Kluyveromyces lactis: one gene and its partners. The protein of the gene in region 6 purifies or fractionates together with the protein of the main gene of each other region. This does not show direct contact. Links are inferred from orthologs where the notes say so. Each region holds a gene or a part of one and is shown on either strand. Other genes may lie near its edges. The genes, in order: UTP13, UTP15, UTP20, UTP8, ESF2, UTP21 and RRP6.

Region 1 (4,417 bases), on a different chromosome or scaffold from region 6:
TTGTCCACAGTCTCCGAGGACAAGACGCTTCCCTCTTTTCGGCTGGCTTTTTTATCGTCCAATGCAGCTTCATCTTCTTCTTTATCCATGTCAATATCTGAAAGCGTTACATCTTCAACATCAGATGCAGCTTTCTCCACAGTTTCGAGCTTAGTATCATTATCTTCTACCGATGAATTTTCAGAATCGGAGCTGGAATCAGAACTTGAGTCGGACACGTCTTGCGTTCTTCTCTTCTTTCTTCTGTTCTTCCTCTTGTTCGTCTTGCTAATAGCTGCAATATGTCCCTCTGACATGATAGTTTCCGATAGAGCTTCTCGTTAATATGGAGGAGAGTTAACTTTAAAGTATAACTGTCAAAAATTCACAGTTGAAGTCACCTTTTAACAGAAGAAGGATGAGAGCCGATCTCATCTCATCTCATCTCATCGCTTCACATCGTCTAGTTATTTGATGAAGTTTCTTTTGCAGGGAAACAAATTCTGTCTAAAACTCAAAGCCGGGTAACAAACTTATTATTCTACTGATGGATGGCCCTTGACTGGATATGGTATCTATTCAGAGTTGATGCGGTGGGTGTGTTGTACTGTTATATGTATATATCTACATGACGACTAGTGCTATATTTACATTCTTTATAGCAATTTGTCCATTTGAACTAAAGCGTAATCTAAGATATAACTTTCTTGAACCAAGTTATCCATTCTTGAGTAATGTCTCTCTGCGTATGAGATTATTGATTCAACGATCCTTACAAGCCCAGGAATTTCGCTCAACTCTTCAATATTTTGTCTTAGAAGAATACACCTTATCATCTTTTGGGCTACTGTGTGTGTTCTTGCATTTGTATTCCAATCTCTGCACCTTTTCACTAAAAGAAGAAGTTGATCTTTATCTAGAGTCGACACAACCTCGTCAATTTCGTTGTTGAAAACTACATTTGGATCCTCATTTGAGTTGTCTACACTTTGTCTTAAGACGTTGTACAATCTCATTGGGTGATCCAAGGTCATGGCAAGCAAAAATGCGTTAGTCCAGTCACCTTCTGAGAGATAATTTTGTAATGATTGTTCTTGTTCAATCTTCAGTTTCTCTTGCTCGAGGTTACGTTCGTGTTCCTCTTCACTGTTATCCCTCCAGAACTCAAAGAAGCCGTCAGCATCTGCTGTAACGAAGGATTCACCATCGTTCATAACAGCAAGAGCCCAGATACGGTTATTGTGAGCATCTAGTGTCTTGACCGATTCACCAGTTGATAGATCCCAAATAATAACTAAACCATCAGCACCAGTACTTATCAGTTGCTTGTTCTTGTTTATGAAGGAACATCTTTGAACTGCATTGGTATGTCCTTCCAAAGTTTTTACGACGGCATATGATTCTAAGGACCAAATTTTGATGGTCTTGTCACCGGAACATGTGGCCAATAACTTGTCATATTGACAGAATGCAACGTCCCATAGACCACGTTTGTGGTTTGCTAATGTGGCTTGGAATTCACCATCATCCAAATTCCATATTTTACATGTCTTATCGTATGAAGCCGTGGCAAATAGAGAATCATTAGGTGAAATGGAGATAGCATTGATATCCTTTTCATGCGCCCTTCTGGTATATTCTGAGGTCTTAACAAGTATTAGATCTTCGGGTTCATCAGATGTCACCTTAGGAACCTTCCATTTCTTTATGGTCAAATCGTTAGAAGCTGTAATTATGAATTCAGGCCATGAACGTGGCATAACATTAGGAAGTCCAACAGCATTCACAGAACCTACATGACCGACAAATTTAGTGTATGGATAAAAGTCTTCGTACTTTGCATGATATCTCCATAATATAACGCTGTGATCCTTGGATGCTGTAGCAACCCAGAGACCATCAGCGGTGGCATCCAAAGAGTTGAGTAGATCCGTATGACCCTCGTACATCTTTACTTCAATAGGAAATGTTTCTTTGTTCTCCCCATTTTCGAACTCTTCCTCCGAAGAAGTTGGGGTTGGAATTATTCTAAGAGTAGGAGAGTTAGTAGCTAATGCTAATTTATCCCGTTTTGGACCAACGAATCTTATATCTGCAATGGTACCATGATTACCTGCAATCTTATTTTCCACTTCAATTACTTCAGATTCCGATTGTAAAGCTGATTCAACATCTATTAGGAACAAAGTTTGATCTGAAAATACCAAGTACTGCTTAGTTCCGTTCAGGATACATAGTGTACCAATAATAAATAGCTCTTCAATAGGTTTTGCTGTTTTCTTTAATACTCTTCCTGTTGACAAGGACACTAATTGGTAAATGGCACCACCACCGGCTGAGTAAACCACATCCGGGTCCTGCGTAAATCCACACGATTCCACCTGTTCTATGACAGGGATGGTCTTCAGTAGCTTATACTTTTTCGTCGAATTAAACTCGAAGAGATTTAAGATATTGTCTCTACCACCAGATAATAACTGCAGCGTTCCCTTTTCTTCATCAGTGACACGGAAATCTAGCCCTCTAACAGCTGTAGTATGTTCCTGAATAGTGCATTGACAATTACGTTTAACTAAATCCCAGACTTTAATCATACCGTTGGTATCACCAGATGCAAGCTTCCAAATTTCACTGTTCAACTCACCGTGAAACTTTACACTTGAAATGGTAGCACCATGTCCTTTCAAAGAGTGCGTGACATATCCATTTTCAATATCAATAACACTAACACTACCATCAGTACCACCTATAGCCAAAAGTGTAGATGTTTGATCGCAATTCATGACGTACACCGGTGACGAAATCTTCATTGATCTGATAATTCTTTCTTGTTTCAAAGAATACACTCTGAGCAACTGCGCTTGTGAGACAAAACACAAATAAGAACCATCTGGAGTTAAATGCAATGCGGTGATGTCTTGTTCATCCTCAGTATCAACAGAATGCAACACTCGGCGTGGGCTATCTAAGCTAACAATGTTGATTTTATCGACGACCGAAGTCGCTAATAATCGTCCATCTTCAGAAACAGATGCTATAGCACCAGTACCAGCATAAAACGGCTCTAGTTTCGTGGATGCATAGGTAGTTCTCAAATCCATTGTGCGAGTGGGAGATCCAAGGTGCTGTCCTGGGTGCTAATAATTGGCCAGGTATAATCTTATTGGTTCACCTAGCATATTTCTGTGATGCGATGAGATGAGATGAGATGAATTAAACTTTTCAACATTCGAATTGAACAAAAAAAAGAAAAAAACGTAGACAATGAGGCATGGGTTATCATATGCTTGAAACAGAAAGAGATTGAACATATACAAAGGAGCTGAAAACCGGGAACGGTCTTTAGACAATGTTTATTTGCACTTACACATATTTGCTAAATATTTGCTAATATTCTAATGGATATGATTTTAAAGTTAATTGTTGATTTATGAGAGAAGTACAACACTCCTCTTACGGAAAAAATGGTGAAGCTGAATAGAGCTTCACAGAATGATATCTATGTAGATTATATCCAAGAAAGTGTAGTAGGTAGAATACAGATAATTGTAGTTTATGGTTATGCTTTAGTCGAGTAGTTTCGCATCAGCAGCAGTGGTAAAACCAAGGAATAAAAAATAAAATCAAAGGAAGTGAAAATGAGGGTTAACTTGGGAGTTCTGTTGATCCTCCGATGATTTCCTCCAGATCAGCTAGCGCCGTCTCACTGAAAAGTCCATTCTTGGTTACTCTCATATGTTCAGCAGCAGCTTCGGCGATACTGTTTCTTCTTCTCCATGCGGCAACATGGCTCATTTGTTCATGGTTAAAATCAATTTCTTCAATCGGGGCAGTCAGAGAAACCAGGAGATCTGCATCGTCACTGCCTAATAGATCAATATCTCCATCTTCATCTCCATGATGAGAAAGTATTAAATCATCATCAGATTTCAGCAGTTGATCAATTTCATCCATTCCTAATCCCTTCACAGAATTCTTCCTCGTTGGTAAAACCAGACCGTTGAAATCATTAGGTGTGTTTCCAGCATCTGCATCGGTGAAAACACTTGAACTTGGACTAGCCAAATTCACGCTAGAGGGAGTTTGAATGTTGTTGTGAGAATCTGCGTTGGGTTCAGTTTCAGTTTCTTGTTCAGGAGCAGTGAGCAATTTTTGCTTTTCAATTCTTTGCCTTTCCCTTCTGATTTTCAAGAGCTTCTTTTTCTTCTTTATCTTCCGTCGCTTTTCATCTTTCTTTCTTTGGTATTCCTTCATCTTATCGATCTTCCTTCTAGTCCTTTCACTACCAACGTAACCAATTGGGAACTTGCGTGCTGAAAACACAGGAAGCATGTATTCGTCTTCTTGATGTTCGAAGTTGATGCCTTTATTTCTGAAAGCAGATAATGGAACAGATGGTTTGTGATACCAGGTGGCAATCTCTTTATTCTTAGAATTC
Region 2 (3,722 bases), on a different chromosome or scaffold from region 6:
TCCCCAATGCGGATCGGCGATATTGGATTGCAGTTGTCAGAAACACCAAAGACGCTTGGTAGAACCCTGGATTTGAAAAGTTCTCCCTTCAGCCCATCGCCGCTGATTAAAAGGCCGGTGAAGACACTGTCCCAATTAGCGAAGGAACATGCCATTATAAAAGACGAATTCGAATCTAACCCAGAAGATTTCAGCGAATTCACTGCGATTAGAACGCTTATGGAAAAGCTGATGCAGGAAGAACATATGGATATAATTGAAGAGGGGGACGAGGGAACTGTCGGCAATGAAACTGAGAGCAATTATGTGCGGAAAGTTAAAACCATAAAGAAAAGAACAAAAGCGAAGATGAGACCAGCAGCATTAAACGAGAAGTCGACCAACATTCCAGACAAAAATGTTCATGAACAGCTAGCAAAGTTGAAGGAACGTGAGTACAATAAAATGCTGGGTAAAGAAGTGGAAGAAAGTGAGTCTGACTCTGAACAACAATCCAATCCACCCGTAAAGAAGAAGCAACGTAAGAGTAAATACAACCTTGTTAGCAACAACTTCAAGCGTTTGAATCTTCCAACAAAGGCAGGAAGAAACAGAGCCAGTAAATGGAGAGGAAGAAGGTGATTTCTTCAAAGTCAGAACGTTAAAAACAAAGAAACAGACGTAACGAACGGGATGATACAGTTGTTGCAGTCTATGTACTATAAATGTAAATAAATATAATCTTTTACACGCATTCCTTTTTGTTATAGATCAGTGTAGAAAGGATTTTATCAGTTTGTTAACAATTGGAGCATACCCTCTATCTTTTGTGCTTCTTTTGCTTTGCGGATCTCTTCCCTTACTCTTTTCTTTAGAGTGATTACCATCTCTTCAAGTACTGGGGACTTCTCCAGTACACTACCGTAGAGTTCAATTACAACCGCAATCCAGTCTGCAACAATTGGTGCACTTCTAACATCTTCTATTCCCTTCAAGCACCAGTTGAGTAGTGGTTCTAGAGAACTTTCGTCTCTACCGTATAATGCAACCTTGATTTTACCTCTTTTCCTTAGTTCTTGTAATACCGTTAAAGTTAATTCTTTAGCCATACCGGGGATAAATGCAGAATCTAATGCGTCAGACCATTTGAATTGGTTGATATGCCTTTCGAATTGACGCAACTTACGCTGAGGATTTGGCTTATCGTTGTGTATAATATGCTCTTGATCACCTCTGTATTCGGACCCTCTCATCATTCTCTGGAAATTGTTGGATTTCGCAGACTTCTCTTGCTGTTGTAATGGTAAATCCTCCAAATCAGAGACATCAGCGAGGTTAATCTTTTTGGACTTCTTCTTCGTCTTGATGGCTAGAATTCCTGAGGATAAACCTGCAACGAAATGTTTATTACCTTGCGCATCGCCTGGTGAGACTGCACAACTTAGCACAGCGTTGCTAAACTTCCAGCCAAACTTGAATTGGAAGTTCTCCAACGGGGAAAAGATCTTAACATGACCATCAAGCGAGGATGCAACTAGTACGGAACTCATTGGTGATTCTTCTCCCATATTTGTGTAATTCAAACAGGTGACCGTCTTTGCGAAATTTTGACGTTCACAAAGGGCTCTATCGCTAGTCAAGTCCCATACTTTGAACCCGTTACCACCACACGATGCAAGCTGAGTAGGAGATATGGCTGTGATATCTTCCACAGGAAGACCGTGATCCAAAGTTGTCTGTGGTTTATCTGATTTCGTTCTAATATCGTACAATCTAACTACTCCATCGTACGACCCTGTAGCGACCATATGTGGAGCATTTGGCACAAAGCAGACTGATCTAACATAATCAGATGCTCCAGTTAACTGTAAAGTGGGTTCATAAGCATGAGAAACATCCCATAGTCTCACTACTCTATCGTCGTTTGCCGTCACCAAAGTCTTGTTATCCTGATCGTGAAACTTCGTCACATGCGTAGGATGCGACGAAGCTTGTATAGAAAGCAACAAAGTACGTGGATTATAACTATCATAAACGGACACTAACCCAGTAGCGTCACCTGCTACTAAAAGTTTACCGTCTTGACGGAAAGTGGCCGAATGCACCACATCTTTAAACCTAGAAAACGTCTTGATCACTTGTCTTGTCCTTGACGAGAAGACCTGTACCCTAGTAGAAGAGGTAACTGCAAAATCATGTGGATGCTGGGGATTGAAGGCAATATGAGTCACTGCATTGTGCTCTTTAACAAGCTGAGTAGATGAATAAGACCTCCAGTACCTCTGCTCTGGGGTGGTCTGCTTTGGTAACACAGGAGCCTTTACCGGCGTCACTCTAGGTCTCACAGACGACATTTTCTTCACAATATTTCTACCAATCTGATCGCCTGAATCACCTCTATCACTTAACAGTAGTCTGACGATACCAAACCGACTGATATAACTCGCAAATTACAGGGAAATCTATTTTATCAACCATGCGATGAGCTAAGGCTTCAATCATTTTTTTTTTCCAAAATCTGGTTTCTTTTCTTTGAAGACTCGAAGAATCTCGTTGATTGTGATTTTTCAGAGAAGAATAACCGTTCACTGTACTTTACAAGCAGATAAAGGGCCTTTAAGGCCCTTTATCTGCTTTTAACCTGGTTTCCCAGATTTTCTTGATTCCCAGGTATTCAGCAATACCACTTTCATTATACTAACTGGTATTTAGGATATCTTTTCTTTGTATTTCTGCATCCCAGTAGTTATTATTTCGTCTATTTACATTCCATATGTATGGAATTTATTTATACTCACCAGTTTATCAAGAAACTAAACCATGAGAACAGGACACGTTTGAGTCAGGAAGAGGTCTTTCTGGTGCGTTTACAGAGTGTTCCAAAAGTCAATTGATCTAGTATCTCGCGATAATATGGTTTCGATTAATTTAGCAAAGGTTTTTGCACCTCTCCCTTCTACAAAGAGAAACTTTACGACACATTTATCATATGATCCAAAGACTGACAGTTTAGCTTATGGTAGCGGTAGATCTGCCATCATTAGATCTTTAGATGGTGAACATGTCGTTCAATTCAATGGCCATGGTACCAGTAATGTCACTGTTGTAAAATTTTCTCCTATCCAGGGGTCTCAATATGTTGCTTCAGGAGATGATTCCGGTAGAGTTATCGTTTGGTCTTGGAATCAGGACGATAAGTCTGGAGAAATTGAGTACAACGTTAAGTCGGAACTACATGTGCTCGCTGGTCCTGTCGCTGATATATCCTGGGATTTTGAGGGTAAAAGATTGGCTGTTGTTGGTGAAGGTCGTGATAGGTTTGGTGCGTTTGTCTCTTGGGACTCGGGCAACTCGTTAGGTGAAGTCTCGGGTCACTCTCAAAGAGTCAATGCAGTTCATTTCAAGCAAAGCAGACCAATGAGAGCTTTCAGTGTCAGTGATGATGGTTCTGTTGTGTTTTACCAGGGTCCACCTTTCAAGTTTGCAAGCAGTGATAGAACGCATCACGGCCAAGGTAAATTCGTTAGAGACGTCAAGTTCTCTCCAGGTGCAGGGAAATATGCTGTGTCTGTCGGTAGCGATCGTAAGATATGTTGCTTTGATGGTAAGACTGGTGAATTTATCAAATACATTGAGTCTGAAAAGGCTCCAATTGGCGGTGGTTTGTTTGCTGTCGCATGGTTAGACGATGGTGAAGAGTCTTCTAGAGTTGTTACCGTGGGTGCTGATTGCACTGCAAGGTT
Region 3 (4,776 bases), on a different chromosome or scaffold from region 6:
GTCTAATCTGTTAACATTAGTTTCAACATACATGTATAATGGCATAATGAATTTTTCTGCCTCTTCTGACAATCTTTCGCTGCTCAAAATCTGCATGGTTAATGCAGCCAGCTGAATGGCAGCTTTTTTCGAATTATGAGAATCGTTTGGATTATCCTCACTTCTGATTATCCAACCAGTTCTAGCAATGGCAAACTCTATCGCGTTTGAATATCTGGACACTGAATTCTCTTCTGAATTATGAATGTACGGCGTATTATTTTCATTCCATTTCATGATTATAACTAGAAGAGTCTTCACAGCAACTGACGACAAGTTTTCAGGTAATTTTGGTGCTCCCAACAGACGGAAAATTCTATATGCGATCGTTTGAATTTGATAGTCATCCAATGGAGCCTCAAGCTTGGAAAGATTGTTAATCAATTGATTGACGAGACGAACAGCCGAGAGACGAACCCAAGAATGAGGGTATAACAGACAGTTGGCAATTTGCTTCCAGGTCTCATCAAATTCGCTACTGAATGCTTGGCCTTCATTTTTAGCAACATAAACAGTGAAGACAGATAATGCGGTATAAACGAGGTCCCATGAAGAATCTGATCCGACGTTTGTATTGGAAATAATAGACTTCACACGAGTTATCGCTAATGTGTCAAGAGAAGGGTTTACTCCAGCTCCAAGTTTATTCAGGTAAATCTTGTAGATCTTTAAACCCAAACTCAAAAATTGTTCATTGTCAGCCTGCTTTAACCACGCGGTAATGAACTTTTCGATTTCCTTTACATTTGCTTTCCCCAATTTTTCAAAGAGTGAGGCAAGAAGAACGGAAGCCATTTCACGACACTTCGGGGCATCATCTTGGACGCAAACGTTCGCCAAGGAAACAAAGAAAGATGATGAAATTTTCTTCACAAGTTCTGCACCAGATTTGTTAATGACTAAGTTGACGAGTTCTAAGACTGATTGACGACCTTCCTGAGATGGATACTGCAAGTTGTTCAACATAAAACGGAACTGTTTTTCTAATCTTCCTTTACTCTGATCATATTCCATAAGGAAATGATAGTACACACCTCTGGCAACATCTCTGATCTCCTTAGAATGATTTGTAACCATGATTTCCGCAATATTGTCTACAACATCATAAAGTTCTGGAAGTACTATGTGCTTTGATAGCAAGGCTTTGACGAAGTTGAACGCCAACCCCTGTTTGCTAGGTTCCATCAAGTCAGGTTGGAGACGTCCTAACAAGTAACCCAGGGCAGTATCTTTCAATTGAATATCTTTATGGCGGAGCATGACTGATAAAAATTTGAGGCCCATCTGACACAAGTCTGATGATGTTGATGGTGAATTCTTGACAATTTCTAAGACCTTTCTGGCACAATTTTTGAATATAGCCTCAGCTTCTTCTTCGAAATCCAACTTAATTATTATAGTCAAAAGGCGTAAAGTAGCCATGACAACACCCTCGTTATCAGATACAAGAGTTTCTTTCATTAATGGGATGAAAGGCTGTAGATATTTAACTTCCATTAGGTTGGCATTTTTGGTAACAGCCGTTCTCAATAGATCTAAGGAGAATTTTTGCAAAGTATGAGCGTAAATAGTTGTATCGTTCTGGACAGTGCCTGATTTAAAGTTAAGATCAACTAAAAAGAAATCTGCACGCTCATCTTTAGTGGTTCTGACTTTATTGGGTCTATTACTCTTGTCTGAGTGAGATTGATTAAATATCTCATAGCACAATTTGAGAACGTCTGGAGATGACGCTTCTTGATTATGATTCAAACCCAAGGCATACCTTCTTAATAATTCATTGAGTTTGTTTTGCGATTTTAGAGCAAGCCTTTCATGCAACAATACATTGACAGGGCGCAATAACGACCCAAACATTGGGAGGGTGATGTTGGATGTTACCAATTCACCGGTATCATAACTTTTATTAAATTTGACTTCTTTCATTTTGGATGTGTATCCTTCTGCATCCTTTTCTTGACCAGCAGCACCAAAAATATCCTCCATGATAACATCGACTATCATACCAACAGATTCATCAAGATCACCATGAACAAGGGTTTCAGAGATTGACATCAATACGAAATGCAAAGAATAACTCAAAACATGGATTTGGGAGCCCCTGGTAAGAGCTGACTTTAACTCCTTGATGACGAAAGATAAGTATTGTGGGCCTAGTATAACAGTAAGATTTGCTAAGTTCTTTCTCACTGCCTCACGCAATTCTTCCGATCTACTACGTAAAACCTGACATACACTGGTTAAAATACCAGGCAAAAGTGCCGCAGTGTCATCCTTTTCCAAGCCCAATGCGAGGTTCACTAATGCTTCTGATAAGTGAACTCTAGACACAATTGTTTCGTCATCTCTAGTCGATAAGATCTTACTCAAGCTAGGGAAGATATCTTTTGTTATGAAAGCTTCCGGTTCTTGATAGCTTTTTGGGAACTTTCTGAGTGTTGGTAGGGATTCATCTCCAGTTCTCATTGCTTGTAAAGAGTTCTTTAAGGAAACAGAAATATTGACAAGAAGGGAAACCACTTCCTTTTGTTTTTCAGTATTCTTCTTCAACATAGAGCTGTACCTTCTGAATAAGGCTTTGTATTGGTTCCATGACATATAGTTCGATAGAGTACCGATAGTGATAAGGGTTTCGTTACCAATGTTTCTGTACTTCTCTTCGGTAGAGAAAACATAGCGCTCGACCATAGGAATTAAGTAGTGCGAAATACTGTTGTCAGAAAGCTTTGGAGCATAGTCTTTTAGACGTCTGACAGCTCTTTGACGACGATGCAACTGAATATGGTTTATATTAACGAAGAAATCAGCTTCTTCATCACCATTGTGTAATAGAACTTTCATATCTTCAATTTCAAACAGATATTGAGAGTTTGTGACAATATAAGCAATGAGAGAGATATATTCATTTTGAATCTCTTCAATGTTCTTTCTTAAACCTGACCTGATATTTGGTAAAATGATGGTTTTCATTATGTCTATGTATGCACTTGCATCTTCAACTGAGAGCTTTGAGTTCATACAATCAACAAATCGATTTAATGTGTGAGAAGCATTAGTTCTAATAGCTAATTCTTGAGTGTCATTGATGAAAAACAAGCATGAGTAGATTACAGGCAACCATTGCATTTCTGTGTAAGAGTCACATTCTTTCTCTGTGAAGCGCTTGAATGCCGGTAATCTTCTTTCAAAGTCATATTCTCTCATTCTGCTGGTCGAATACGAATTTAAATCAGCCAACAGCGCCCCAACAGCCTCATATTCGTTGAACCTCGCACCAATGCTCACAAAAATATTGTTCAATGCCTGTCTGAGATCCTTATCAGAATAAGATCTGTATAATTTAGATGCGGCAATGTACAATGGTTCAACTTGTGAAAACGAACAGTCGAAATTATCCATCAAAGTTGATAATGTCTTCAAAAGTTTCACTTTATCTTTCACAGTGAATTGCGAGAGATCTTTTTGCAATGCTTGAGTCAATGAACCCACCAACAATTCTCTTGTTTCGTTATCTTCAACATAACCAAGTTCGGTGATATTTAGCAACAAGTCTACTGCAGCAGAAATAACAGTACTTTCCGTGCACCTTTGTAGTAGCACAGGCAACTGCTGCAAGCAAATCGTAACTATCATAATGATTAGCTCAACATACTTTGGGTCCTGGTCAGGGTTATTGATTATCTTATTACAGAAATTCAATATCACACCCACTACAGACTCCTTTGCATTTGAATTTTGTAATGTTTTCATCAAGGCAGCTACAGCAGACAAATCATCAAAGTATAGGAAACTGTAGAGTGATTTTTGTTCAGCCCAGTATGTAATAATTTTCATGACAGATGATACCTGTTGCAAGTTCTCATCTTCAAATTTCTCTAGACGGGGTGTAATCACATTATTGAATATGTCAGCAGTAAAAGGCCTCCAATCCAAAACGTCTCCTAGTTGACTAAAGAGATTATGCAAACACTTATGTCCTATTTGCCTCAAGTTAGATGCTACCTTTTCGACAAATTGCTCATCGGACTTTTCAGAAACAATAAAGTTTGACATGTTGATAGCATATATTAGAGGCCTTATAACAGTTTTCATCACGTCGGGATATTGGGAACCCAACACTGCCAATGACGAATTAACGACATTGATGAAACCAAGCATCTTTCTTAAGGTCAGAGAAGTCGCATAAGTAAGGTCAATTTTATTCCCATTCTCAAAGAAGTATTCATATTTGAACTTTCCCGTGGCGAGCTGCAAAAACTGTATAATGTAGCGGTTTTCCAAACTAGGCAAAATAGTGATTACTGCAGTTTTCCTGCTCTTCTTGAGACCACTTGTATTTGGGGTTTGAACACGGCCGAAGAGAATTCTCACAATATAACCCATAACAGCTTCTTCATCTTGCTTTTGGATAGTTTTGGTGTCATCGGTTGCTAAAAACTTGGTAATTTCATCTTTAAATAAAGTGTCATCCAATAAGTTCTTCAAGTTTTCTCTGTACTTGGTTATATGAGATTCCTTGTAACAAAACAACGCATCTAAAGCTAATTTTTGAACTTCTGTAGTTCTGCTGCTCAAAAGTGCCATTAACCTATCGTGCACTTCCTCTGATTTGTAAATGGATTTGATATTTTTGAATTTGCCAACGAGCTTTAATAAAAGGTTTCTATCACTTTCAGTCCATTGTGATGCTGTTGGAATTAGTACATCCATACTTGGTTGATCTTCTGTGATAAAAAT
Region 4 (4,058 bases), on a different chromosome or scaffold from region 6:
GGAAAAATTCAATGGTCAGCATGGGAACTTGAGACGAACTGGCCCGTTCACGTTGTTTTATGGCGATGCGAAGTCGGACGAGTATAACGTAATCGACTACTTAAAGCATTCCACTAATCCGTTTGAAAAGATGGAGCATATGGTGATATCCAACGACATTTTCCACTGTGCTGTAGGTGAACACACAAGTAGATGGAATAAGACGGAATATGGGTACGTTTTACTTGATGCGTTGGCGAAAAATACTACGGGCATTGCCAAGGAAGAACTATTGCAGAAATGTTTTGAACTTTTATCAAACCATACGTTTAATGAGGGCGAAGATGTGGATTCTGTGACGACTTCCAGTATTTATGTACCGCCTTTAAGAATTACTAAAGGTGCAGACGCTATTGGAACTTCATTGCCAATAGGCGATTACTATGGAACTAGATCCCAGATTGTCATACTTGTCGACAAAGATAACAGAGTTACGTACGAGGAGCATGTGATTTATGAAAGTGATGAGGATTGTGAAACATACTCTTTCATGGATCCAAAAGAGGTAATTCAGTTCCAGTTCAATATGGAAAGCTGATGAAATCATTTTACGAAAAGTTCTAATGTTTATGATTATACTACACACTTATTAGCATTCTAAATAGTCCACTGTGTAAGCTGAAATAGGTTGTGTAGAAGACGAATTTGTTGATGAATTAGATTTATTGTTAACAACCGATGAATGCTTGGTGTAATGCTCTGCCAAATGCAAAAGTTCTATGTTTTGTGACACTACAGAAACCTGCGCATCGACAAAAGAGGAAAGTTTCTCTAAATATTCATCGTCTAACGCAAACAAACCGATGGAATCTATTATTAAACTCATAAGTTGGAAGATTTGTGGCTTATTAAGTTTCAAGTCCGAATCTGCCTTATTCGAGTTCAAAATCATATCCAAAAAGTTTGTGATATCCATCTTCTCAATTTTTCTTATACCTGCTTTGATTGATTCTTTCTTGTAATCTTGTAGCACTCTTAGCGTAATATCAAAACAGAGCTCTGCATTCGTTATATTGAAAAGCTCGGTTAACAAATCGTCAAGTGGAACATTCGGACAAGTAACAATAGCTTGTTTGAAAAGTCTTGGGTTATTTTTCAACTTGGTTAATAAGCCCTTAGCGTGAACCGGTGGGAATAAAGGGTGTGTTAGAAGGTATGTCAATGCTTTTGGATATTCATCCTTGAAATTTAGAAACAAGCAATCGATTATTTGAGTGAGTAAATCAGAATCATTTAAAAATCTGTCATTGTCTGTATAATATTCCTTGTCTAAGGAAAGCATCTTAAAAAATATAGAATCAAAGTTCTCTATTTTTTTACAGATATGGAGTTGTTTTATAATGCGTTCATAGTCTGGAGATGGCAATTCCACATCGTCGTCCTCATTGCTTTCTTCAAAGAGTTTCTGTAGTTTCTGCTTTTGTTTAACCATGAACCCTTTACCCATCGCATCTTTTAAGGTACCGGTACCAACATCAATGTTAATAACATCCAAGTAACTCGTAGGGTTAGCACCGTTTTTAGTTGTAACATCTAATGCTATAGTTTTTCTATTGTCTTCAGAGTTTTCTTGAACAACTGCAGTAGAGAGTAGTTGAATAGCTTTGATGTTCTGTAAATCCTTTTGGAATAGTATAGCATTGTATAACAAATCCACAAGATATATGGTATTATCAGCAGTCAACAATACACGGTTTGAAGAAACTGGTTTGATGGATACAACTGCATCCTTGGAAATGAAAGGTAGCTGAATGCTAGTTTGTAGTTGCAAATGTGGTAACTGATAGATTGATAATTCATTTGAGTTCTTTAAAACATATAATTTCCCGAACTCAAAACACAACTTTGCATTCTCTAAAGTGTAATTTTCTAGTATGATAGAATTTAGTTCAATACATGAGACGGACTCACTCCTAACTTGGAAAAGTTTGTAACAGATTTTCTCATCACTTAGTTGGCATAACACGAAAAAGAAATCGTTTCCCTGCCCATCTTGGAAGAATTGAACAAATCTGATATCATCATAAGATATATCAATAGTATTTGAAAGTTTCAATTCATAATCAAATGTTTGAATCAGTCCATTCCTTAAGATAACGAGAACTTTCTCTGCTTTAGAATAGATCTTAATGCTAACGACTTCAGATTTTAGTTTATATTTGAACTGAGATGTGATTTCAGCATTTGAAGATGACACGGCATCTTGAATCATCGGCTTAGTAGCCAAGTGTAAATGTGATACCTTTCTAGCTTCCAATCCGTAACACCAGACTTCTGTATTGGCTGCATCTTCTACCACGTCACATGCAGTAACAATGTTCGTAGAGGGGATTGGCAAGTTAAAAACCAGCTTCGGGGTTGGATTAATCAAGTATTGTGATATACTGGAACCTGATATACCAATATTCACTTTATTGGCTGATGGTGAAAGATTATCAACAACTTGTAAGTAGTCTGTTTGATTCGCATAATTATTCAATGATGGAATCTTAGGTAGAGCAGAGAGCCTAAAAGGCTGTGAGATGGATGCCATTTTCTCAATATCTTTCGATAAATAATATCAAAGCAAACTGTATTGAACACAGGATATTTGATACTTCACCTCGTCCTTTCAAGAGCAGCGGTTGAGTGTATCTTTGCACTTACAGCTCATCGCATCTCATCGCATCTCATCTCTTCTTCTGAGTACTTCAAATTTTTCAAACTTTACTTTTGGGAGTCAGTCCGGGTAATATATAGTGTCGAAATGCAAACAGAAACAAGATGAGATGCGATGAATATACTCAGATATCTTCCAGGTGACAGAAAGTGTAGCCCTTATTTGAATGCCACAAATCACATTGTAAACTGGACACAGGCTGATAATAAATATTCGAAGATGAATGATCTAATGGAAATTGAAAAAAAGTTGAAGAGTTTGCGGAAACAAAAAGTGGAAGTAAGTATAAGGAATAAGAAGGCCATAATAGCTGAAGAGAAGAAAAACTCTGAAAGAAGAGTATACAGTATGGCTGACGATGGCGAAGATAAAGCTAGAAGTAACAAAAGCGAACCAGAAGATCCGATAAAATTGGCAAACTACTCAATACGCGAATATGAAAAATGGGAAGCTAAGACACAGAATTCAAGACATAATAAAAGCGTGATGGGGGACTTCCAAACTATAGCAAAGAACAGCTACAAGAAGGAAGTAGATGCGCTTCCGAAGGATATATCACATCCGTTGAAAGGTGGAATAACTGAGGATGGGAAGGTTCAAGTAGAAGATAATCCTGAACTAGTAGAAAAAATGGTGAATGATTTGAACGAACGATCAAAGAAAAGGTATATGGTACGGAAACAAAAACTAGATAAACAAAATAAGATCAATTTGGATGATGGATTTATTAATGACAAGAATAAACGGTTTAATGCAAAATTGAATAGCGAGTTCAAATAGGCATGGGAAAATAGGTATATTGGGCATTTACATATGAGATATTTACGATTGATTATGAATAATTATTTTATTTTAACGATATATAGAGGTGGATTTCTTCATTTGTCTTCAGAATCTAGTGAGTTAAGGACTTCTAGATCTTCTTCTAAGCTCTTGACACATTGCTTGTAATGGATCAATTGGAAATTATGGAACAACTTAACCAAAGAAATGATCTCAGAACTATCTGTAAGTTCTCCCAAGAATTCCACAGTTTCTGAGGTTGCAGACACGAACTGATCTTCTAATCGTTCGAAAAGCTTAGAATCAGGATCTTCTTCTGTCTTTGCCATATCAACTGGTTCCTCATTGGTTTTCTTTTCGGGGGTTTCAGGGGTTTCAGTTGCGACCTTTTTTTCAGCTTCCTCAGAGGATGCTACAACCTCTTTTTCCTGCAGCTTCAATTTAATTTCATGACGTAAAGTATCAAAGTTCAATCTTGCATCTTGAACCTTAGCGCGCAATTCGTGACCTTTCTTGAAATCAGTTTCAATAAGTTTAGATAGTTTGGCGTTGAACTCTTTAACCATCAAACTATCCA
Region 5 (2,994 bases), on a different chromosome or scaffold from region 6:
GTTGGAGATTCAGCGGAATCCTTTTCGTTCAACAACGACATCGGAAGTTTATTTCTTCTCAATAGCACCTGATAAGAATCACGCTTGTTCTCGCCCAAAGCTTCTCTGAAATGGCTCAATGAATCCTGAGAAATAACTCTGGTATTACCAAACCATCTACGGTCAGGAGCCACTCTTGCTGTTGGAGCAGCAGTATCCTGCAACGGAGCAGCCTTGATAATGTCACCCTTTGCATTACGAACAGATCTACCACCTTTGTACATGTTCAAAAACTGCACTCTCTTGGTGTCCCTGTAGAAATTCTCACCCTTCACACGAAGGTTACCATCCTTGGTATTACCTTCGCGGATTCTCCTTTGCTTTTCCTTCTTACCGGTACCCATTGTGCCTTGGTATAGATTTCAATTAGGTTTCCTTTGGTTCGTTCGTTTGTTCGTTCTTTGTGGTAACGAACACGTTCAATTTCGATCGAAAACTCAAACAGATGGAAGAATAAGTAACTGAATGTCTCTTGCCTGGACTGAGATCAACCTGAATCGAAACAAACCACTGATGAACCTGCCTTTGTTCCTGTTCCAATTCATGAGATGAGATGAGATGAGCTGGAAAATTTTTTCTTTTCACTTTTTCTTACACTATGGGAATGAAAAAGAAACCTGATCTTTGACCATGGGAATGGCAGGCGATGAGTTGTACTCTCTGTAGGGCTTTTGGCTTGGCTATATGCTTTATATATGTGTTATATAGTCATCTTAGAATAAACTATGCATGACATCGTTGAGTGCTTTCGATTGCGGTTGGGATTGTCTCTGAGAATCTGGAGCAGATGCTCTTGTCGAAGCGACTTTCCTCTGTTTGAAAGTCCTGCGAACTTCTTCATCGACCTGCTGTGATTCTTGTTGGTTACGTTTCTTGCTCTGTTTCATCTTGTTGACCATCTTTGATTTCTCTACGTTATGGATGAACTCTGCGTTCAACTTGTTGGCCTGTGAGATTTCCAATTGTAGCTTTGCTTGTCTGATATCGTTTTCTCTAGCGATTTGTTCTGTCAAATCGGCCCATTTGAACCCGGGCAAGTATTTAACGTTCATGACGTCGTCATGGTAGAAATTTCCCTTCTTACCACCGATAATATTACCGTTTAGAGTCGATGCGCACAGTTTAGCGTCCTTCTTTCTGATAAACTCGGCCCAACCTTCTTCAAACATCGTTTTCTTGTTCCCACCACTCTTGACACGCTGCTGGTGCTTGTGCTCCTCTTCACGTTTCAAGAACAGACGGTCCACTTCACCGAATCTTGTGAGAATCTGCCTTAGCTTGGCTGGTTTCATGTACGGTGGAACCCTCGATAGGTAAACCACACCGGTCTTGTGTTTCGTCTTCTTATCGCTCTTAAGCTTTTTGAGTCGTCTCTGCTTTTCTTTCTCTATCTGCTGTTCTGTGAGTTGTACTACCTTATCCTCCGGTTCTTCTTCATCCTGTACTTCCTCGTCCTCTTCCTCTTGCTCTTCCTCGTCCTCTTCTTGATCAAACTGAATCACATTCTTCTTCGCATCCTTCCCAGTGATCAACACTTGGTTGTCCTCTTCTTCGTCTGACGCAAAATCATCCACATCGCTGTACTCCTTGCTCATCGTGTTATTGTTGTCCTTAGTTAACCTGCTGAACCTTGTGGTCTGTTGTCTCTTCTCTCATGTATATGGTTCATCTCATCTCATCTCATCTCATCGCTTTAGTTCCAAATTTTTCAGTATGGCACTCACTGTACAGAAGAAATGGGAACCAATCGTACTGGACGACGGACCGATACCACAATGAAGTAACGGGTCTGTAGCCGGTGTTTGCAGCCTGTATGGCCGGAGATCGCGAACTTGATCCATGTCTGCTCTTGCTGCACGCTTGAGCAGCTTTCTCAGTGAGGTGTGCAGGTCTTACATACATATTCTATATAGAAACGGCTTAAAACTACGTCAAAGCAGGAACCTCCCCACTCTCTTGGCGTAGTTCCCTCCGCTTTGCTACCAGAGTTGCCATTGCCATTGCTCATTGCCATTGACATTGCCGTTGTCGTTCCACTGTTATCCGGTTTGTGACAACTGGTGACTGGATTAATAATAACCCGACACGAATGGCAAGAAACCGGAAAAACCTTGTCCGTTCGAGAGATTAATCCAGATATATAAAGGGGAAGTGCTTCCGATATAGATGAACAACACATGTATCCTTGATCTAATTGGCTTGACTTGTTGATTTATAGTCGCCCCAATACAAACAACACACACTCGATATATTTTACAATATGTCTGCACCTTTAAACGTTGGTATTGTAGGTACCGGTATCTTTGCAAGAAACAAGCACTTGCCCACTTTCCAACAGCACAGCGATAAGTTCAAACCAGTCGCATGTTTCAACAGGACCAAGAGTAAAGCAGATGCGTTTGCTGTCACTGCTGGTATCGAGGAGTCTAAAGTTTACGCAGATTTGGACCATTTGTTGCAAGATGATTCCGTTGACGTAGTGGATGTGATGGTTCCTGTTCAATTCAACTATGAGACTGCGAAGAAGAGTGTAGAAGCTGGTAAACCGGTGATCTTGGAAAAGCCGATTGAAGCTAACTTGGAACAGGCTAAGAAATTGGTTCAATTGGCTGAATCTACCGAGCTTCCAGTTGCTATCGCAGAGAATTGGTTACATTTAGAATGTGTGCCAATAATGAAAGAGAAATTGGCTAAGATTGGTCCAATTGCTGCGTTCACTTACAATTCCACTGGTCCCTTCTATCCATCGAGTGAATACCTGGCTACCAGTTGGAGAAAACATCCAGAACACATTGGTGGGTTTTTGTCCGACGGTGGTGTTCATCAACTTGCGTTGTTGACTACTCTATTGGGGGACATCGGTAGCATTGCTGCGTTTTCTAACCAATTGAGAAAGGAATCTGGTACTAACGATATAGTGTTTTCCAGCGTAAAGCTCAGAGACTCGGATGTTAT
Region 6 (4,682 bases):
ACGCTGCCGCAGAATTTTACCAATTCATCCAATGATTGGCCCTTGCGGTGATTGGTATCCCAATGTTGCAGAGCAGTCTTGATATTTTGATTTGTGTTATTAGAATGAATTACATCACCATGCACTCTGAATAAGATGGTAATATATGCCTCATATAACTCAAAGTTCTTGTTGGTAGCCAAACCTTGAGCCAAACTTTCAATGAACCGACATAGCTCATCAAATGGTTGAAAAGCTTTCAAAGAACGAATCTCCAAATCAATATTTGAGGGAGTCATCTGGACTAATTCGTCAAGGAATGCTGAATAATCGTTTTTCTGCGAACCTTCTCTAAGTAGCTTAGTGAAATCAGATTCGAACTGAGCACCAAGTTTTCCTGAAGGTTTGAATTTATTCAGTTCACTAGCAGCATTAGCTTTGGCAGCATTTCGCTCCTGTTGTAGTTTAGAGGAATCCAAACTCAAATTCTCAGCGCCTTCCCTGGCTGAAGCCTCATCGCCCACCTTATCTTTTGCAAGTTGTAAGAAGAATGGAGCCTGCTCTGGTTTAACTGGAGCCTCCTTTGGTTTCGAACGTTGTTTAATTATATCGAGATTGAGTAAGATATTCATCTTGTTCCTTGGTCCCAAAGAAAGAGTCAATAAATCTTTATCAATTTGCTCCATCGAGTCATATTTACCAAAGAGATCTTCGGAATCATCTTCCTCTGTATCAAAAGCCCCTTCCAAAAAGTTGGAACCACCATCTCCGGAAACGTTTGGAAGCATAACAGTGGCAAATTCTTCTTCGTCGATCTGTCTGGTTGATACTGAAATGAACTGAGCTCTATTAGCCCAGAGGGAAATACCATTACCAGATACACTAGTGGTAGCCAATAAGTCACCATTTGGTGAGAATTTAATGTTAGTGATGACATTTTCCACTTTCATACCGTCTATACATCCACCTGTTGGTAAATCCCAGGTTCTAATTGTGGAATCTAATGACGAAGAAACGATCCAACGTCCATCAGGTGAGAAGTCAAATGATGAAATTCTATTGGAATGCCCCCAGAGTTGACGGACCACTTTTTGAGTAACCGAATCTACGACAACAATGGAAAGGTCATCTAATGCTAATGCGAAGAGGTCAGATGATCGATGGTATACCATTGATGTTATAGGTGAATCCAACTTTAACTTTCCCAAAAAAGTGCTTTTGGAAAAGTCATAAAATCCGACAATACCATCTAACCCACATGACACCATCTTTCTGTTCATACCATCCATTGCAATACCAGTAACTGCCTTCTTATGTAAACGATAAACCTTTCTCTTCTGTCCACTTTGTAAGTTGTGAACACTAATACCACCGTTTGAAGAGCCAACTAAACCAAAGTTACCACATTGTGATATAGCTACGCTCTTCGCAAACCCCTCATCATTAGTTGGGATTGTCCACCTACCAACTCTTTTTGTTCTCGAGTTCCATGTTCTTGCAAACTTTTCCCCTTTATGAACCGTCAAGATGTTTTCCCATTGGCCTTGTCTGTTATTTTCGATGACTATTGATGTAATCTCAGGGAACTTCTCACCAATGGTGCTTCCACCAATCCTATTTCCATCTTTATTCTTATGCAGACGCTGCGATAATTCCTGCGATTGTGCATCTTTTCTTAAGGAAAACCCCCATAAAGATCTATCTTTTGAAGCAGAAAGAATGAAATGAGATTGATCGTCAGCAAATGCAATAGAGGATGGAGGTTGAGAGTGACCACCTCTTGACCTTAATAATCTGGCTGGTTGAATGACCACTTCAGAGTCACCTTGCGATAAGGATGGATCGAAAACAAACTCTTTTAACTGGTTGTCACCACCACAAGTGACAACGATCGGCTGACCGTTCAAGAATGATGCTCTTGCAACACCACCATTCACTTCCTTGTGAATGCCTTTTAACACTTGAACACGTGAGCGATGATCTAAGTCATAAAAGATCAAATCACCACTGGTTGATGCTACTGAGATATGAGAAGCACCATCCGTTCTGAAAGAGATTGAAGAAATTCTCGTCGGCGTTTTAATGGTTCTGATTTTCTTACCCTTACGCAAATTGAATAAAATAACTTCACCAGATGATGTACCAAAGGCAACGATGTCTAAAGCAGGTGCAGGTTCAGCAGTGGTGATCTCATCGGGGAACTCATCGGAAGTGTACAATTGTTTTCCGGTCCGAACGTTAAACAAGGTGAAATTAGACTTAGTCACAACGAGCAACTTGTTAACATATGTTGGTAAATGCACCAAATCAACAATATCACCACCTTGTAACTTACCAATGGTGAAATTGGTGTATAATTCAGTAGCGAATTTATCAGATGGGGAATTTTTCTTATAGATATAAACAACATTATTATCTGTAGAAGCAATCAAATATTCACCGAAAACGTTAATTTTGGTCACCACGGTATTTGGATCAGGTAATTCAATCAAATGTTCTAGCTTACCTCTCTTATAGATCCCAACTTTATTCTTAAAACTTGCATAAACGTAATGAAAATGCGCTGCCAAACAAGTAATGTCTCCCTCTGTCTCCTTATCTGAAACGAATAGCAGATGCAAATTATTGGCATCAAAGATCTGAAACGACTTACCAACAGAAGTCACAATGTAGAAGGTCGTACCTAGGGTACCAATCGCATAAGGAACTCCAGTAGATACATTACCTACAATTCTATACGGAGAAAATATTCTGGAAGCATGTTTCCTAACAGCGCCGGAAGAACCAACTCTTCGTTTCTTTAACGATCCATCCACTGTCATGATTGCTAATGCACTGTTCTGTGACTTTATGCAATCGCTTAATTAACTGAACAACAAGCGAATCCAGTAATTAGCTGCTGACGATAGGTATCTATCTCATCTCATCTCATCTCATCGCTTCTTTAAAACGTCGAGCTTCGAAATTTTCATCGCTGAAACAGAAAAAGAAATCAGAATATCACGTGACACATAAGGGGGATCAACCTGCAAATGTGATTCTTAGACTTGGATAGAGAAGATACTATGTAACTTCACCATTAGATGCCATTAGATAGTAACCATACCACAGTCTGAAATCTCACTAGCGAAACACATGGAGGTGTTGCTTAGATACTGGTCTTTACTTCAGAATTACTCACAGTTTTCTATCAAGTTTTCACTATTATCCTTCACATATAAATTTATATACAAAATTAAACACATGGGGAATAATCGTACCATGCATCCGCTTATAACAGAAATCGATTAATTGCAACGATCTACAAAATAATTTTAACTGAAGTTTCAGCATTGGTTATAATCAAATTGCAGAACTGCCAGTCATGTCTTCTCCAGGTTCAATTTCTGATGAGGGTCAAGAGGCAATCAACGGAAATACCATGCCTCCACTGTTTTTAGATTCGAATACGAAAAAGGCTATGGAATCGATCGCTCCTATCCTTGAAGGGTTCACGCCGAAGACCTCTTCTAGTGAGAATAAGTCGTTGAAGTTGCCACCTGCTGGTTTTACCTCTGATGATGATGATGAGACAAATAAGCTCGTCAGAACGCTTAGTATTTCTTCTACTGGTTCGACAGGTCGTCATATGACTCCCAGTGTCCTAGGCACCTCATTCGATAGCATGAATGGTAACAAGCTTCAAAGACTGAAAAGTAACCAAAGTGGATCAGCATCAGTTTCTGCTATTCTGGAAGGATCGCCTAGTCCATCTCCTATGCTGGAAGAACCTCATGCATTCCCCTTCATTCCGCAAGCATTAGTCTCTAATGAAGCTGTCACAACCAACACTGACGGATCAACAACTCCAAGTTCGACAAATTCTTCGAGGAAAGCTTCAACTTCCTCGTCCAAGCCTCAGCTACCAAAGATTGGTAAAATTGGTGTTTGTGCCATGGATGCGAAAGTGTTATCCAAGCCATGCAGACATATCTTAAACAGACTAATTGAACACGGTGAGTTTGAGACTATAATTTTTGGCGATAAAGTTATATTGGATGAAAGCATTGAAAACTGGCCTACTTGCGACTTTCTAATATCATTCTTTTCCAATGGGTTCCCTCTAGAAAAGGCTATCAAATATGTCAAGTTAAGAAAACCATATATCATTAATGATTTGATTATGCAAAAAGTATTGTGGGATAGAAGGTTGTGTCTCAGGTTGCTGGCGGCAAGCAACGTACCTACCCCTCCTAGATTGGAAATTACAAGAGATGGTGGTCCCAAAATTGATGATGAACTGAAATCTATGCTTGCCGAACGTGGAGTTATTGTTTCAACTGTTCAAGAACCCAACTGGAGAATGGTGGACGATGACACCTTGGAAGTTGAGGGTAAGGTGATGACCAAACCATTCGTTGAAAAACCTGTGGATGGTGAAGATCACAATATATACATCTATTATCATTCGAAAAACGGAGGCGGTGGGCGTAGATTATTCAGAAAGGTCGGTAATAAATCTTCCGAATTTGACCCTACTTTGATTCAACCTCGTACTGAAGGTTCATACATCTACGAAAAATTCATGGATACCGATAATTTCGAAGATGTGAAAGCATACACTGTAGGTGAAACTTTTTGTCATGCTGAAACCAGAAAATCCCCTGTAGTCGATGGTATTGTGCGCAGAAACACTCACGGAAAGGAAATTAGATATATTACTG
Region 7 (4,576 bases), on a different chromosome or scaffold from region 6:
ACTGCAGGTATAAGGTGTGTGTATATGTTAACACTTTCATTGTGAAGATAGAACAATGAATGGAAAAGCTCTTTCCAGCTCTGGGTCTCTCGTACATAGCCATGCAGGATGTGCTCATTATCCTTTTGCCAATCTGGAATTTCATCCCAGGAATAAACCCTTCTCTCATAAACTCTTACAGTTTTCTTCGTTCCCGGGGTCTCTTCGATGAGGGCGGTCTCTTCAGTAACAACGGACCGTTTTCTAGTGCTCATAGTTCAAACTAGGATTTCAGATAATAGGATAGATAAGCTCTTGGAGTCGTACCCGTTTAATTTTTCTGCTCTTTATGTTTGATCAAAGCAGTTCATTGCAGTATGCATTAAAAATTCAATCTCATTATATATACTACTTAGGGCTAAATCTCTTTTAAATGCCATGAGATACCCTTATTTATACACTCTTATAATTCCGCGTAGTAAACAAAATTTGAATATCAACATTCCTTTTTGTCAGTTCCAACATTTTCGAGAACTGTTGGCTAATCTGATGCACTGCACATGACTATAGATGAAGAAATTAGGATAGACTGACTACTGTGAAAAGACTCCTTGCAACTGGAGGATCTTATGGGCAGTCTCAGAAAAGCTCAAGTTATCCAATCTGTGTCTCAATGCCTAGGCAGAAGTAGCTATTTCTAAGGAAAAAAACTATTACGCAAACGAATTAGTGAGCGAAATTAACCTGTAAATATGACTAGTTCGATATTTATACCATTAGAGCTGCTCAAGATGCTCTATCTTTTGAATGAGACGTTCTTACCCTTGGCAGGTTTTGATTTTTTCTTGATAGGCTGTGGACCGACATGTTCAACAGAGTAAGGATCGAATCTTCTTTTTTTATGCTTCTGTGAGTTTGTATTATTCTTTGTTGAGTTCAATAGGTCGGAGCCAGCAGCATAATCCATAATCTCATGACTTGCAGGTGGACTGATAGTCTTTCGTTTGTTGTTAGATTGAGATTGTCTTTTGCGCAACGTAATTACTTCATCCTTGTTCTCTTCAATCTCTTCCTGAGAAGGATCAGACGTGATGACTTCATTTCTGTTTTCATCGTTAGATACTTGCGTAGGAGCTTCATCCTCATTTGACGGTAGCACAATACTCTGAGCTTGTCGGTCAGTGTATTCTTGTTCTAACGTCCTTGTTATTTCATGCTGACGCTTTAATAATTCATGTTGTGGAATGAGCGTTCTCGTCTTTGGTGTATATCTGACGGCAGTATTCACATCCAAGTTTGAAATACCATTGAATAGGACAGATTTCTCTGAATTTTGTTCGTTATTCAGCTTTTGAGAGTTTATTTCCGAAGCAAGTGAATGAAATATATTCTGAATGGATTTAATTTGGGACGTTGTTATTATATTGGCCAGATCGGTGCCGTTACTTTCGGCCGATTCCAAAAGTGGGATCGCAGAAGAGTTGGAATTTCCTTTGAGATCCTCTAAAGTTCTTTTGATCAAGTTTGCAATGACCTTCGAATTTGTTCTTAAATGCTCTGAAACGTATGAGCTGACAGACAATACGTTAATGGGTTCGGTTGGTGCACCAGCCACCAACGATACAAGTAGTTGGTTTGGCATCACGTAACGAGGAGATTCATCATCCCTCCTGGCGATTGTATCTCTCCATTCATAAAGTCTACGGAGAAGTAATTCCTTTGAAGCCGGAATATTGTACTGAAACATAATATTCTTCCAAGGTTCATCCTTTTCAATAGGTGAAAACACTGCTGAAGACGGAACCTTTGGTCTGAAACTACTATATTCAAATCTTCTTTTAGCCACTTTTCTCGATTCATGCAAAACATCGGACATCTTATTCTGTTCCAGTAGAGAGTTCCTTAATTTATCGAAAATATTTAGGAGAAAATGCGTATCAGCTCTTGCATATGCAAGCATAGGCTTGGTCAACGGTCTGATTCTCCAGTCTGCCAGTTGATATTTTTTTGAAGTCTTGAAATTAGCAAATCTTTCGAGAAGATAGGCCAGACTGTGTTTTGGAAAACCTAACATCCTGGAGGCATGATAAGTATCAAAAAGGCCAACAATATATAAGCCTAAATCACGTTGAAGCCATATGATATCCATGAATGCACCGTGCAGAACTTTAGTAACATTAGGGTCGGTAAAGATATCATTCAATATGTAAAGTTCCTCTCTCAATGCAATAGTATCTACAATCCAATCATGCTCCCGGTCACTAATTTGCATCAAACAAACTATACCATAGTAAGACCTATAATCATGATGTTCTAAATCGATTGCTAATTCTGTGGCTTTACTTAATTCATCTTTCATTTTGTTAAGGCCTTCAACGGTGTCAACCCAAATTGCTTCAGTTTCATCCCAGTCCTTTGATGGGATCGGTTCTGTTGCAACAAGAATGGAGTCATTGTATTTTTGGTGGTCGATCTCATATTCGTATGGATGTGGGTAATGGGACGGGATGGATTCCTCTTCTGGGACCATCTTCAATGAAATTTCGAACGGTTGTAAACTATGGGGTTTGTATTCCAATAATGGCTTGAAAGGATGAAGTTCTGTGTTATCTACAGGAGTTTTAAAACTTAGTTGAGGTTTTTCAATCCTCTTGGATGGTTTATTGTTCGAACGATCATCATCATTTAGATACTTAAGTGATGGACCTCCAGCGTTTCCACCATTTCCGGCTCTAATGTTGTCAAGTGCATGATCAGACTTTTCAAATAAATTATCCATAATATTACTTATGGATTTCCAAGAATCCACAAAACTGTCTTTCCCTTGCTGAATTACATCATTATTGGGATCAATAGACAAAAGCAAGTCGTTGATTAACGATAAAATGTTCGTAGAAGTGTCTTCTAATGATGCATTAATGTTGGAATCTAAACTTTTGTAGAAATCGATATCCTGTGCAGCCAATGCACTCGATGATCTCACAGTTTGAACCAAACTGGAAAGTAACGTATCCTTATCCTCTGAAGACATGGTGGATTAGAGTCAGCTGGTAGTCTACGGGGGATTCAAAACGGGGCGAATCGTACTGCCCTCCAATATATTACTGTCTTTGACTACCAGATGAGATGAGATGAAGAAATATTCACTAATCAAAAGAAATCAGAAGAATTCAAATCCGGGTAAAATTTAGATGTTCTCTGCTACTGATGAAAATGATTCATTCAAAGAGTCGGTAGTATTACAGAGAGAGTCAGACCACGTATCACCACCGCCGCCATTGCCTTTCAACGGCTACGTTATAAGTTAATTGGCTACTAGAGAACTAACTATATAATCTTGCATAACTTCTGCTTCCTCTACGATGTACGGATTTTTTTTCAACTAATGTTGCAGCATCTCTCATCTCAATATTATAAAATGACGCTAGAAGCAGACAGCATCAGCTGCTCCATTTTATGGCAACCAATTAAGTATAGCTATATAGGGCGGCTAACCTGTAAGAGTAAAGATGGCACAATTGAAGGAAAGTAATGCAAAATCCTGAAACATTTAAGTAGTGAAACTATACTTTAATACTACATGCTTTTTCATTGTAATCTTGGGTAGTGATTCAATAACTTAAAAGTGGGTCAATTAATGTCTAATTTCCGTCTAGACATTATGAAGTGAATATTGATGAGTATTGCTGCGATGAAAAGAACATCAACAAAAATGGGAAACCATTTCAGTATCGTAAAAGACTCATAACACATTTTGCCAACCATCTTCACAAATTCAGCGAAAGATAAATTGAATCCGAAGTTGATTCCATCCTGGCAATGAAATAAATTAAAGGAAGGTCAACTATTGAAATGACTTGAAAGCTTTTTGCCGTTGCGTAGCAAAGTGCTCTTTCTATCCATATTGGTCGGATCATCCTCCTTCATATTTCTCTTTTGTGGAATGGTGATCGGAGGAGAATCACTATTCTCATTAACAGAAGTTTCTCGGGAACGAGTTTTCCGGTGTTCACTCAGATTAAAGCTATCGCCCTCGGTTATAGATGGTGAAACGATCCTGCCCGTAGTGGATATAATGTTTGTGTTTAATCTACCATTTCCTTTATCTTTAAGATTGTTCTTGATTGTTGTACTAGGCGGTACCAAGGTGCCACCAATGCCAGGATTCATTGGATCGACCATTTTGAAGAAGTATGTGGAAGTTTTATCCGGTGAGTTCAATGGATTTCCAACGAGTTGAACAATCTTCCTGTAATAATTCTGTAAAACATTGAAACCATTGTCGGGACCTCTCTGTGAAGCGTTTTTCATGGGTATCAGCATATTGGAGCCCAATTTTTGTTCAATCTTACAATTTTCGATATTATCATCTCTTGGGATAATTCTGTATCTGACTCGTTCCAAAAACTCATTCTCAAGGATATTTAGTTCACTGCATTGTACGCCTCCAACCTTAGAATAATGTGTGTTTGTACAGAACGAGTCACATAAGCCTTTACTTGCGATAGTAGTTGCCGTTAACAAAAAACGATGGACGGTCAACGAATTCAAAGTAAATTCAGGGTAAACAGCAGACAACAAATCAATATAATATACT

Evidence for each region.
Region 1: the proteins of UTP21 (region 6) and UTP13 purify together in Saccharomyces cerevisiae (affinity purification with mass spectrometry; 6 studies listed by BioGRID). This does not show direct contact. The link is inferred for Kluyveromyces lactis from reciprocal best matches to the Saccharomyces cerevisiae genes UTP21 and UTP13.
Region 2: the proteins of UTP21 (region 6) and UTP15 purify together in Saccharomyces cerevisiae (affinity purification with mass spectrometry, with the first as the bait; 4 studies listed by BioGRID). This does not show direct contact. The link is inferred for Kluyveromyces lactis from reciprocal best matches to the Saccharomyces cerevisiae genes UTP21 and UTP15.
Region 3: the proteins of UTP21 (region 6) and UTP20 purify together in Saccharomyces cerevisiae (affinity purification with mass spectrometry; 3 studies listed by BioGRID). This does not show direct contact. The link is inferred for Kluyveromyces lactis from reciprocal best matches to the Saccharomyces cerevisiae genes UTP21 and UTP20.
Region 4: the proteins of UTP21 (region 6) and UTP8 purify together in Saccharomyces cerevisiae (affinity purification with mass spectrometry; 3 studies listed by BioGRID, with this or other methods). This does not show direct contact. The link is inferred for Kluyveromyces lactis from reciprocal best matches to the Saccharomyces cerevisiae genes UTP21 and UTP8.
Region 5: the proteins of UTP21 (region 6) and ESF2 purify together in Saccharomyces cerevisiae (affinity purification with mass spectrometry; 3 studies listed by BioGRID). This does not show direct contact. The link is inferred for Kluyveromyces lactis from reciprocal best matches to the Saccharomyces cerevisiae genes UTP21 and ESF2.
Region 7: the proteins of UTP21 (region 6) and RRP6 purify together in Saccharomyces cerevisiae (affinity purification with mass spectrometry; 3 studies listed by BioGRID). This does not show direct contact. The link is inferred for Kluyveromyces lactis from reciprocal best matches to the Saccharomyces cerevisiae genes UTP21 and RRP6.

What each region holds. Positions count from the first base shown.
Region 1 is NC_006042.1:1,222,841-1,227,257, reverse strand, and holds UTP13 (U3 snoRNA-associated protein UTP13), read right to left. Parts: upstream 3,081-4,417; coding exon 636-3,080; downstream 1-635. Other genes in the region: RSA3 (Rsa3p), read right to left, coding at 1-296; KLLA0_F13222g (uncharacterized protein), read right to left, coding at 3,625-4,417. UniProt on the Saccharomyces cerevisiae protein: Involved in nucleolar processing of pre-18S ribosomal RNA.
Region 2 is NC_006042.1:1,275,143-1,278,864, reverse strand, and holds UTP15 (snoRNA-binding rRNA-processing protein UTP15), read right to left. Parts: upstream 2,334-3,722; coding exon 771-2,333; downstream 1-770. Other genes in the region: SLD2 (Sld2p), read left to right, coding at 1-621; AIP1 (Aip1p), read left to right, coding at 2,893-3,722. UniProt on the Saccharomyces cerevisiae protein: Involved in nucleolar processing of pre-18S ribosomal RNA. Required for optimal pre-ribosomal RNA transcription by RNA polymerase I together with a subset of U3 proteins required for transcription (t-UTPs).
Region 3 is NC_006041.1:1,543,443-1,548,218, forward strand, and holds part of UTP20 (Utp20p), read right to left. Parts: coding exon 1-4,776. UniProt on the Saccharomyces cerevisiae protein: Involved in nucleolar processing of pre-18S ribosomal RNA and ribosome assembly.
Region 4 is NC_006041.1:412,697-416,754, reverse strand, and holds UTP8 (Utp8p), read right to left. Parts: upstream 2,573-4,058; coding exon 629-2,572; downstream 1-628. Other genes in the region: KLLA0_E04687g (uncharacterized protein), read left to right, coding at 1-577; SYF2 (Syf2p), read left to right, coding at 2,813-3,478; KLLA0_E04621g (uncharacterized protein), read right to left, coding at 3,577-4,058. UniProt on the Saccharomyces cerevisiae protein: Involved in nucleolar processing of pre-18S ribosomal RNA. Also has a role in nuclear tRNA export. It acts between the steps of tRNA maturation/aminoacylation and its subsequent translocation out of the nucleus.
Region 5 is NC_006039.1:1,673,084-1,676,077, forward strand, and holds ESF2 (RNA-binding ATPase activator ESF2), read right to left. Parts: upstream 1,635-2,994; coding exon 753-1,634; downstream 1-752. Other genes in the region: putative GTPase NOG2, read right to left, coding at 1-383; KLLA0_C18887g (uncharacterized protein), read left to right, coding at 2,300-2,994. UniProt on the Saccharomyces cerevisiae protein: Involved in the small subunit (SSU) processome assembly and function, and in the 18S rRNA synthesis. Required for the early cleavages at sites A0, A1 and A2. Stimulates DBP8 RNA helicase ATPase activity.
Region 6 is NC_006038.1:252,566-257,247, reverse strand, and holds the start of UTP21 (rRNA-processing protein UTP21), read right to left. Parts: upstream 2,802-4,682; coding exon 1-2,801. Other genes in the region: inositol polyphosphate kinase VIP1, read left to right, coding at 3,344-4,682. UniProt on the Saccharomyces cerevisiae protein: Involved in nucleolar processing of pre-18S ribosomal RNA and ribosome assembly.
Region 7 is NC_006040.1:113,147-117,722, reverse strand, and holds RRP6 (exosome nuclease subunit RRP6), read right to left. Parts: upstream 3,011-4,576; coding exon 776-3,010; downstream 1-775. Other genes in the region: IZH2 (PAQR-type receptor), read right to left, coding at 1-254; PHO80 (Pho80p), read right to left, coding at 3,820-4,576. UniProt on the Saccharomyces cerevisiae protein: Nuclear-specific catalytic component of the RNA exosome complex which has 3'->5' exoribonuclease activity and participates in a multitude of cellular RNA processing and degradation events.